Macaca mulatta: one gene and its partners. The protein of the gene in region 1 interacts with the protein of each later gene in a pairwise test. Links are inferred from orthologs where the notes say so. Each region holds a gene or a part of one and is shown in the gene's direction. Other genes may lie near its edges.

Region 1 (4,326 bases):
GAACAAGAAATATATACAAAACAATTTTAGGAAATTGCAGCTCTCACAACCTTTCACCATGGGGCCTTCTCTGTGGTTTAGAAAAAAAACTGCATTTATTTGTTATTAGGATGGGAAAGAAGAGAAAAATACCGACCCAAATAGCCCCTGGGGAAGAGGGAAGCTCTGATGCCAATGTGGAGGATGGAGCCAAATTGACTCAGGAAAAAAAAAAAAAAAAACTTTGTACTGGCATTTTCCACACAGTCCAGGTCACTTGGGAGCTTAGCCAGGGATATTTTGAGCATTCGACAACCTATTGTGAACAAGGTTGGGAACTATGAGGCGCTATGTGGCCCTGATCAAGCTCAGATGGGCCAAATCCTCAACCAAAATTCTCTTTCCCATAAATGTTTATCTCTACATTTCCCACAGAAGGGGATTCTAACTCAGTTTTGCTTCTGAAACCAAACTATCCAAGGCCAGGTGAGATGATTCACGCCTGTAATCCCAGCAACTTGGGAGGCCAAGGAGGGAGGATGCTTGAACTCAGGAGTTCAAGACCAGCCTGGGCAACATAACGAGACCCCATCTGTACAAAAAATTTAAAAATTGGCGTGGTGTGGTGCTGTGTGCCCCTAGCCTCAGCTACTCAGGAGGCTGAGGTGGGAGAATCGACAGGGCTGCGCTGACAAGAGCCAGACCCTGTTAAAAAATAAAAACAAAAAAACTCCTAAATTTGGAAACACATCCCCAGCTGGGGGCCAGGAGATAGTTCTCAGCCGTAATCCAGAACCCTCTAAAATGGGATGTGGAGAGGCTGCTGTCTGTAGTCTTGCGATGACCCTTCAGCATCTGGGCATCTTGAGCTTCTGTCATTCTGCCCACACCTGCTCAGCTCCATTCAAGAGGGCCGGGCAGTTTGGAGTGAAAGCTTAGCTTCCCAACGGGTAAATGAACCCGCCTCCCATTCACAGGGCGGCCTCTGGCTGGACACCTGGGGCCTACTGCCCCCTTGTTACACATTAACCAAGTTCTGGCCTCGATCGTAACTGCGTCAGGGAAGTTTCTTCCTGGCTGACAGCCTCAGATGATGACCGAAGACAATGTCTTTAACTGAGACGGGCCAGTGTGGCAAATGGACTGCTTTCCTCCCCAGTGCAGGCACCTTCCTCCTCTGTTCGGTAACTGGACCCCACTGTCCCCAGCCCTCTGTCACCCCCAAACCTGCCCACCGCCTGCCTCTACCCGGCCTTCCCTGAGGGAAATCGGGACTCAGCCCGCAACGCCCCCACCCGCCGCTCGCCCAGCCTCGGCGCACACAGCCAGGGGACCCAGCCCGCGCACGTGCTTCCGGCGCGCGCCGAAGTCCCCATGCGCCCCGCCCCCGCCTCCCCGTGCGCACGCGCGAACGCGGCGTGGGCCGGGCCTCGGGTAGCCCATCTCCTCTTCCTCCTCGCGGTCGCGGCCGGACGGAGGGTGGAGGTCCCTGCGCCTGCGCGGAGCTGGAGTCCGGCTGGGCCGCAGCCGCTGGGAGGCCGGCGGTTGCCGTGGGGACCGGTCGGGCCCCTCCCTCCTCCGGTCTCCCGCCCCAGGTTCTTCCCCAGCGAGACGCGCCAGCGGACCGCGGGCGAGTGCAGCCGGTGACCCGGCGAGAGGCGGCGCCGCTCCCAAGATGTCGCAGACGGCCATGTCCGAAACCTACGGTACGAGGCCCGGGCTGGCTGGGCGCGCGGATTGGGCCGCGGGGGGCGTCGCCGGCGCGGGGCCGGGCTTGGGCTGCGGGGGTCTTGAGGGTGGCGGTGGCGCCGGCCGGAGCCGTGGGACGGGTCTCGGAAGTGTCTGGGCCTAGGACCGAGATGGGGGACGCGGGCCGCAGAGAGCTCGGGTGGGGTAGCGGGTGCGCCGGGCGCGGGCGGGGCTGTGCACAGCGCATTGGAGTGATCCGCCTTTTCAAGTTTCCTCTTGCTCTTTCTCTGCGCCTGCACTGTTAGCGCTTTTCCCCTCTCAGTCTAATGTAAATAACTGAAGGTTTGGAAAGCCAGCTTGATGTTCCGTTTCAGCTGCTATATTATCCCCAGCGAGCCGTGTGAAGGGCTTAGGGCGACGCCTGTGTTCCTCAAATACTTAAGTTTGACCTTTCCTGGTTTGGAATTCCTTGCTTTACATTGGGATTACGGTGAGGAGTTTCTGATAGACTAATTCATCTCTTCCTCCGGAGACCTCTTCGTTTATTTCTCCCTCCCTCTCAGTGTTTTTTAGTCTTTTCTGAGTTGCATTTTGGCTATTTATAAACATGCCTTGTATCCTTAAGACAGTAAGCACCTTGGAAGCAAAGCCTTGGCTGTTTAATCTTTGTTTCCCCTGCAGCACCCAGACCTGGAGGTGCTCGACAAATACTGTTTTGAATAAGCGAAAGCTTTCCCAGTGCATATACTGTGTGGTGTTTTTTTTTTTTTTTTTTTCCTCCCCTTTTTTGGCCTTGCGTGGTAAGAATAAACAACTTGTACTTTCTTTCAGAGTTGAATATTAATAGATGTTTACCAGTCCCTAATCAGTCTTTCAGATGTGTGTATTCTCAGATTAAGACTTTGATTTGGAGTTTTACAGTCCCAGAGAGAGGCTCAAGTTCAAAATTACATACCTCAAGCCAAATTAGTCCTGTCTCCATCTGTCCTGGCGTGCTGCCTCCTTCTCGGCAACAAATACTGTGGAATGGCATCAGGGAAGCGGGCACCGTGCTGGGAGGGCTGTAAGTCCTGCAGAAAGACAGCAGACACGGCTCTAGTCTCATGGAGCGTACCGTCTATTGAGGGAATGCAGTATTCATCCAATTGTGATACTAATGAGTGAATAATTAAAAACCAGCCAAGAGTTCTTAAGGAGTGTGGTCCGTGAAAGTGTGTTAGAAAGAAAGGTGACCCAGACAGGGGGTGTCGGGGAGGCATTAGCCAGGCAACACACAGAACATCTCAGGCCTGTGGGAAGGGCAACTCAAGAAGGGTGTGTTTTGAGCACCACGCTGGAGAGATGGATGAGGAGACAGAGAGGAGAGGGCCTTGAGGAAGGCGTGAGTCTGTCTTGTAAGAAAAAATGGGAACTTTTGGAAGGGCTTCCATGCTGGGGTCACAGTGCCTTTGGTCCACCTTCAGTGAGTGACTCCTGTGACTGGTACTGCCCTGTTCTTGGTGACAGAGGGGCATGACATCTGTTCCTAGAAGGCTTAGGAAATCCTCCAGTAAGTCGATGCCTTCATCAGGACAAGTGTTTGCAAATGCTTCTGCAAATGGCAGTGGTCTGGTTCTTCCTGTAGAGACCACAGTCAGAAATGTAAGGAAAACATGCTCTTTAGCAATTTTTGGTTGCATCTTTGCACTTCTTTATTTTCAAGTGCTCTTTAGCCCACGCTGAGTTTCTTTAACCTGAGTAAGGAGCACAGAGCACAAGGGAAGGGTGGAATGTCCAAAGAAGAAAAGCAAGTGGGGGTCATGAATCAGTAAGAAAGGACCTTTTATGTTTCATTTTTCGTTTACACAATGATAACAACTGATAAAATAGAGCATATCTTTGGCATCTCCACTTCAGACACAGTTAACTGAACTTTTGAGCTTCACAGATTGATTGCATTCTGATCATAAGGCTTTAACCATTAGTATTCTTATTTCATGATAACTTCCAAGTATGTTTTTACTTTGCAATTCTGAATTGAATCTTTTCTTCTAATAGAGGAAATTAATCAAAAACTAGTAGAAACTAATAAATAGAAAATGAGGCCAGACGTGATGGCTCACGCCTGTAATCCCAGCACTTTGGAAGGCCGAGGGGGCAGATCACTTGAGCTCAGGAGTTCGATACCAGCCTGGCCAACATGGCGAAACCCCAACCCTATTAAAAATACGAAAAATTACCTGGGCATGGTGGTACGCTTGTAGTCCCAGCTACTTGGGAGGCTTAGGCATGAGATTGCTTGAACCCAGGAGGCAAAGGTGCAGTGAGACAAGATTGCGCCACTGCACTCCAACCTGGATGACAGAGTGAGACTCTCAAAAAAAGAAAATGGGCTTTAGAAGGAGCAAGCAGGACAGTTGAAGTTTGCCAAGCTGAAGTAAAAGTCACCTAGAACCAAGTCCTAGGCTGTCACTTGGACATATCAGTGGCCATATTTATATGGCATTGTTCCTTAAAAGTGAAACAGTCAGGCTCCCTTCTGGATATTTGCCTCTGAGCTGGTGAAGGAATGTTTGTCTAACCTTTAAACTCCTTTGTACTCTGTGCTCATTTGCTCTTCTGTAAAAGGAGGCTCTGTGTAGCTTGACAGAGGGATGAGGAAAAATCAAGGGCCAGTGC
Region 2 (3,180 bases), on another chromosome or scaffold:
GGTTTTTGCCTTTGAAGATCCTTAGTTGTTAAGAAATTAAACTAGTGACAGGCTTCTGAGATCTTTGAATCTTGAAGTATTGCACAAAGAATTTTTGCCCTCTGTTTTGAGCAGAAAGATAATAAAACCAAGAGCTCTTTCATATTAAGATCTAGAGCTGACTTTTTCTAATATCTAAAGTTTACCAATAGTGAAAGAGTTTTATGGTGATAGGATATTAAATAACTGATTTAATTTAGCATAAATAATATAATTAAATATAAACATAGAATAAGTTAGATGAGTTAAAGAATGTTGTGTTCTCAATTCTCTAGGACATTAAATTGTATGATTGGACAGATGAAGCATATTTTGGCTGCAGAACAAAAGAAAACAGATTTTAAGCCAGAAGATGAAAACAATGTTTTGATTCAATATACTAATGTGAGTAAAATGATTCAATTTGTTAATACTTTGCTAACATTTTCATTGGTGTATCCTACTGTGCCCTAGATTTTTTTCTTTTATACTTACAGATTAATGAGAAACTTATGTATTTCCTCTTTAGCTAAGCTGGTATACATTTCTGTGTAATGAGTGTAGAAAAACTTTTATAGGCTTGTGTAAAAGTCTGTGCTTACGTAAGAAAACAAGTGGAGAAGATTAAAAATTCCATGGATGGGAAGAATGTGGATACAGTTTTGATGGAACTTGGAGTACGTTTTCATCGACTTATCTATGAGCATCTTCAACAATATTCCTACAGTTGTATGGGTGGCATGTTGGCAATTTGTGATGTAGCTGAATATAGGAAGTGTGCCAAAGACTTCAAGGTATGTATATACAAAAACATCAATCTTGCAAATAGGCCCAGGAACATAAGTCAGATCATTAAAAATCACTATGTACTTACAATTAGTGAAAGGTTTATAACTTTTGTTGATATTGTATGAGATAGATTAACACATTCTACCTGAAACAGTGTTGTTCCAGTCATTTTCTTTTAATTTTAAATTTTAAATTTTATTTTATTTTCCAGAGACAGGGTTTCACAGTGTTGCCCAGGCTGGTCTCTCCTGGGCCCAAGTGATCCGCTGCCTCAGCCTCCCAAAGTGCTGGGTTTACAGGAATGAGCCACCACACGTGGCCCACATATTTAATATTAAACACATTTTTGCTTCACGGTGTATTTTCAGTTCCACAGTCTTTGACTTATTGACATCCATGACTAATGCTGTATATGTCACACATTAGGAAAATAACGTTGTCTTCATTTATGTCCCTCTGAATTTTTCTGTAACATTTAAATTATGAAAAATGCTATATATTAATAACTAGTTTTAGTCCACTGAAGTATATATGATTGTTACATTGAAGAGAATTGACATATGAATCTTTTTGAAATATTATAGTAAGTTTATTTAACTACGAAATCTTTAAGTTTTAATGCTTTGTGATCTTTAAAAAAATTCTAATATGTTGAACTCCACGCACACTAGTAAGTCCCACCTGACAGTATGTAAGAAGTTAGAAGCTAATTGTAAAACTGGAAACTGTTTTGTTTCAATGTTACTTTCTTTCTTCTCTCAATTCAGATTCCAATGGTATTACATCTTTTTGATACTCTGCATGCTCTTTGCAATCTTCTGGTAGTTGCCCCAGATAATTTAAAGCAAGTCTGCTCAGGAGAACAACTTGCTAATCTGGACAAGAATATACTTCACTCCTTCGTACAACTTCGTGCTGATTATAGATCTGCCCGCCTTGCTCGACACTTCAGCTGAGATTGAATTTACAAAGGAATTCAATGTCAGTTCCTTTACAGAGGAATTTCTTGTACTTCAGCAGGCCTCGGTTGATAGAAAGCACAGGAGATACCTTATGACACAGCCAACATTTTGTGAAACAGTGACTGGAACAAAACAGCAGCCATACTTACCTTTGAGGTTTTATTTAAAGTTTGGATACCACTAACTATATTTTGCTTTTTTCCCCTTATGTTGAATTTTAATTCCATTCTTGAATGTAGAAATTTCAGATTCTTTAAAACTACATGTCACTGTTTTCATCCTAGAAAATGTTGCTGTCAGAAGGCAAAGGAAATGTTACCAGTGTTTTCGGTTCTTGTACCTTTAACATATTCCATTTAGAAATTTTGCCATTCTGTTTTCCATTAATAATGGGCAAAATACAGGAAAACTACATTTATTATTCCTCAGTTTTTAATGACCTTTTCAGCATCAATTGTTAATCAGGTTATTTTAGGTTTTCATAAATAATTTTTTTGCCTCTTTCAAAAGGTTAACAATTAAGTTTACTTTCTGTAGTTGGTTGATTGGATTTTTTTCTGAGGGACAACATTAGTACTAGTCCAAAAAATGTCATAAACTGAACTAAAATGATGAAATATTTTATGTAGACATTAGGAGTGGATCAGAATACTTCTGCTTTCTGGGTAAAACTTAAAAGTTTACTATTTCTTATTTGGTAAATAGATTTTAAGCCAATTCTAGTAAGAAATTGATAAAACTACCTTATTTTATATTTCACTTAAGGTGGAGGACCTTAACTAAAGGACCATATTTATTCATTATTTTAATATTATAAGGGAAGTAAAAAAAGTGAGGTATAGTCTAAATAGTGCATATAAGAAATATTGACAGTGTTTAGCAACAATGCAGCCCTTTAAGATTTTCTGTCGTAATGCTAAACTTGAATAAGATGGAATGGCTGAATATGTGGTTAGTCTTTTATTTTAAGAGGAATCGATAGATTTGGAGATGAGCTTTGCAAAGACTGGTTGCTTTTCATGTCTATAGGTCTGTCATTGTCCTTTTTCAAAGCATTTCTGAAGTTATTCCTACTTGGATATAGTTAATGGAATTGACTTAATTTGATGACGTATTAAATCACTTATAAAATTTTGAACATCAAGTGAAAATTTAGAAAGGCCATTGCTATTCTATAAACCTTGTAAACTTGCTCTGGGAGAATGCATTCTAAATTATATGTAATGTTTCAGCTCCCATCGTGTTGTTCATAGTCTTCTAGGAACAGGATAAACTTAAGTGTTACTCACTCTTGGCATTTTTTCTTTAATACAGGCTTTTAAGCCTGTTTTTGGAAAACTGCTTTTCTTCTGAGAACCTTAATCTGAATGTCATCAACTTTACCAAACCTTCTAAGTCCAGAGCTAACTTA
Region 3 (3,650 bases), on another chromosome or scaffold:
CAGATACAATACCAGGAGAGGCAGTTGAGCAAGTAGTAGTTACCAGCAGGGACTCTGTAACCAGAAGGCCTAGATTAAAATCTTGGCTCTACCTTTTACTAACTGTAACCTTGAGGAAGTTACTTAACTTGCCTGGTTCTTGGTTCCCAAATGTTTAAAATGGAAGTCATGATAATAACAGTACCTGCCTCCTCACAGGGCTTTTGTGAGGATTAAATGAATAAATGTATGTAAATCACTTAGAACAGAGCCTTGCACATAGTATCAGCTATGGAAGCATTAGCTATAATATTATCCTTCTATTAACTCATCTTCCCTCTAAAATATTTGACTTTTTAACAGTTTTGTGGCCGGGCATGGTGGCTCACGCCTGTAATCCCAGCACTTTGGGAGGCCAAGGCGGGCGGATCATGAGGTCAGGAGATTGAGACCATCCTGGCTAACATGGTAAAACCCCGTCTCTACTAAAAATACAAAAAATTAGCTGGGTGTGGTGGCATGCGCCTGTAGTCCCAGCTACTCAGGAGGCTGAGGCAGGAGAATCGCTTGAACGCGGGAGGTGGAGGTTGTAGTGAGCCAAGATTGCACCACTGCACTCCAGCCTGGGCAACAGAGCAAGACTCTGTCTCAAAAAAAAAAAAAAAAAGTTTTATATCCACCCTGTGGCCCTGCTTTGCCTTAGTCTCTACCACCTCTCATCTGCTGTTTCTACAGCCGCCTCCCTGGTGTCTTCACTTCTAGTTTCTTCTACTTAGTTCACACCACAGAGGCTGTTCTGACCTGCAGATCTTACGACATCACTCCTTTACATAATACATTCCAGTGCCCCCGGTCCTGTCCCTAGTTCAGAGCCCCTGGTATTCACATAACTGCTGGCTTCACCGACTGACTCCTCACTGCTTCCTGCCTCCAGCCTCCATGGTATCATGATTCTTGCAGAGTGAGGCAAGGGCAGACATTCTTCCATAAATCCAGCTTGTTTCCCGGCATCTGCCCTGGTCCAGCACTGGGCCAGTTGCAGAGACTTCCTGCATAGTCCCTTTCCTCCTCCAATTCCTCCCAGGAACTGGAAGTGCTCACAGAGAGAGCTACGTTAAACCTGCCACTACCCCTTATTCACCAAGACATTTCAGCTCAATTGTTCCTTCAACAAATAGTTACTGAGTACCCACCACATGCTCTATGTTCTGGAAATACAGTTGTAAGCAGCACAGAATGATCTTCACTCTTAGCTTACCTTCTGGGGGTGGGATGGGAGAAAGATGATAACAGTAAACAAATAATGCTAGTAGTGATAGCTGACATTTATATGGTGCTTACTTTGTGCCAAGTCCTGTTTGAAGTACTCTACATTATTCACTCATTTAATCTTTGAAATAAGCCTATGAGATAATCAGTATCCCTATTTGACAGATGAGGAAAACTGAGTTCCAGGGAGATTAAGTAATTTGTCACACAGCTAGTAAAAGGCAGAGTAGAAATTCACATTCAAGCAGTCTGTTTTCAGAATCTGTGCTTGTTACAAAAGAAAATTGTGATTAGTACTAGGTAAGAAAGAAATGAACAGTGCTGTGACAGAGAGTACTGGAATTTTCTCTGTTGAGGGATACCACTTTAAAGGTGACATCTGAGCAGAGCACTGAAGGATGCAAAGAAGCTAGTTATGTGAATAACTGGATGAAAGGATTGGTGTTCTGGGTAGAAAATATTGCAGGCAGGCTTGGTGCGGTGGCTCACGCCTGTAATCCCAGCACTTTGGGAGGCCGAGGTGGGTGGATCACCTGAGGTCAGGAGTTCGAGACCAGCCTGGCCAACATGGCAAAACCCCATCTCTACTAAGAATACAAAAATTAGCCGGGCATGGTGGGACGTGCCTGTAGTCCCAGCTACTCAGGAGGCTGAGGCGGGAGAATCGCTTGAACCTGGATGGCAGAGGTTGCAGTGAGCTGAAATCGTGCCACTGTACTCCAGCCTAGGTGACAGAGCGAGACTCCATCTCAAAAAAAAAAAAAAAAAAAAAGAAAAAGAAAATATTGCAGGCAATAAAATAAAAATTCTCTGTAGGCCTCGATATTCTCATATGAAAATGGGGACAAGGGGCAGGGCGCAGTGGCTCACGCCTGTAATCCCAGCTCTTTGGGAGACCGAGGCAGGCGGATCACAAGGTCAGGAGATCGAGACCATCCTGGCTAATACGGTGAAACCCCATCTCTACTAAAAATACAAAAAATGAGCCGAGTGTGGTGGCAGGCGCCTGTAGTCCCAGCTACTCGGGAGGCTGAGGCAGGAGAATGGGGTGCACCTGGGGGGCGGAGCTTGCAGTGAGCCGAGATCGTGTCACTGCACTCCAGCCTGGGCGACAGAGCGAGACTCCATCTCAAAAAAAAAGAAAATGGGGACAAGGGATTTTCTCAGGACTGCTTTGAGAAGTGTACTTTAGCCAGGAATTGGGCAGAGGTCTGGCTTAGTTTTATTGGCATTGTATACGTCTCCAAGACTAACGGCTGGCAATGCAGGAGCTGTCATCAGTGTTGGCCCTGGAAATGACCTGCAAGCTCTTTGTGGTGCTTAGGATGAGAGGGAGCTAACTCTGGGCCCAGGATCCAGCCCTCCACAGAAGAGGGGTGGCAGTGAGGCTGTCTGTAGCACTAACAACCTCCAGAGGAGCCTGAGGTCTTGGATTGCATCTCTGAGGTTGGAAGTAGGAAGAGGAAAATGGTTTTTGGTGTCCTCATACTTGGTATGCTCTTGGTATTTTCTGACTCTGCCACTTAAAAGATGTGTGAATTTGAAATTGTTTAACATCTCTGTGCCTCAATGTCCTTATTTGTAAAGTGGGAGGGCACCTACATCATAGGGCCATTATGGGAATTGAGTGAATTGTAAAGTACATGGACAAATGCTATGTAGGTTTCAGCAAATACTGTTCTGATTCTCTGCTTCTCTGCCCCTTCTCTTCCTCTGTTCAGCTCTGCAGCCAGATGGAACAGCTGGAGCGAGAGAACCAGCAACTGAAGGAGGGGGCTGCAGGAGCAGGGGTTGCCCAAGCTGGGCCCCTCGTGGATGGGGAGCTGCTGAGGCTGCAGGCTGAAAACACAGCCTTGCAGAAGAACGTGGCAGGTGCATAGAGGCCCTCCTGGGGATGCGGGGACCTTGGGGCTTGAGTAGGGCAAGAAAGGCTGTCATCCTCTCAGGGGGAGGAGAAGGGCTTCAGAAATAGGGTTGGCCCATGCCCTGTGTGGCTTTGGACAAGCCATTTCACCTCTCTGAGCCAAAGCCTTGTCATCTACACAGTTCATGTAGTGATGTCTGTCACCCAGAAGATTGTAGTAGAGATAAAAGGTAATATCATTCTGCATTAGTTCAGTGTCTGATACCTAGCAGATGTTACAGATTAGCAGCTTGAATGTCAAAAAGGAGATATTTGCTAAGTGGAAAAAGTGAATGGAGTGTTGGGAAGATTCTGAGCCCAGATTGTAAGTGGGGTCTGGGATGAAAGCTGAAAGAAAGCTTGATAGAGTGTGGGAGCATGTGGTATGTGGAACTTTGGAGAGCAGCTGGGACGTCTGTGGTGGTGGGTGCTGGTTCCATGACTAGGAGGGAGACTTAGTAGAATGTGGGTGGGAATTAGGAGGCTCTAGGAGGGATTC

What was found.
Region 2: the proteins of RAB4A (region 1) and EXOC5 interact in binary tests that used the Homo sapiens proteins (3 or more experiments, as listed by UniProt). The two-hybrid records come from large-scale screens. The link is inferred for Macaca mulatta from reciprocal best matches to the Homo sapiens genes RAB4A and EXOC5.
Region 3: the proteins of RAB4A (region 1) and GRIPAP1 interact in binary tests that used the Homo sapiens proteins (3 or more experiments, as listed by UniProt). The link is inferred for Macaca mulatta from reciprocal best matches to the Homo sapiens genes RAB4A and GRIPAP1.

The regions. Positions count from the first base shown.
Region 1 is NC_133406.1:19,774,685-19,779,010, reverse strand, and holds the start of RAB4A (ras-related protein Rab-4A), read left to right. Parts: upstream 1-1,458; 5' UTR 1,459-1,654; coding exon 1,655-1,685; intron 1,686-4,326. UniProt on the Homo sapiens protein: The small GTPases Rab are key regulators of intracellular membrane trafficking, from the formation of transport vesicles to their fusion with membranes.
Region 2 is NC_133412.1:130,322,446-130,325,625, reverse strand, and holds the end of EXOC5 (exocyst complex component 5), read left to right. Parts: intron 1-314; coding exon 315-423; intron 424-596; coding exon 597-812; intron 813-1,574; coding exon 1,575-1,763; 3' UTR 1,764-2,554; downstream 2,555-3,180. UniProt on the Homo sapiens protein: Component of the exocyst complex involved in the docking of exocytic vesicles with fusion sites on the plasma membrane.
Region 3 is NC_133426.1:49,071,078-49,074,727, reverse strand, and holds part of GRIPAP1 (GRIP1-associated protein 1), read left to right. Parts: intron 1-2,969; coding exon 2,970-3,120; intron 3,121-3,650. UniProt on the Homo sapiens protein: Regulates the endosomal recycling back to the neuronal plasma membrane, possibly by connecting early and late recycling endosomal domains and promoting segregation of recycling endosomes from early endosomal membranes.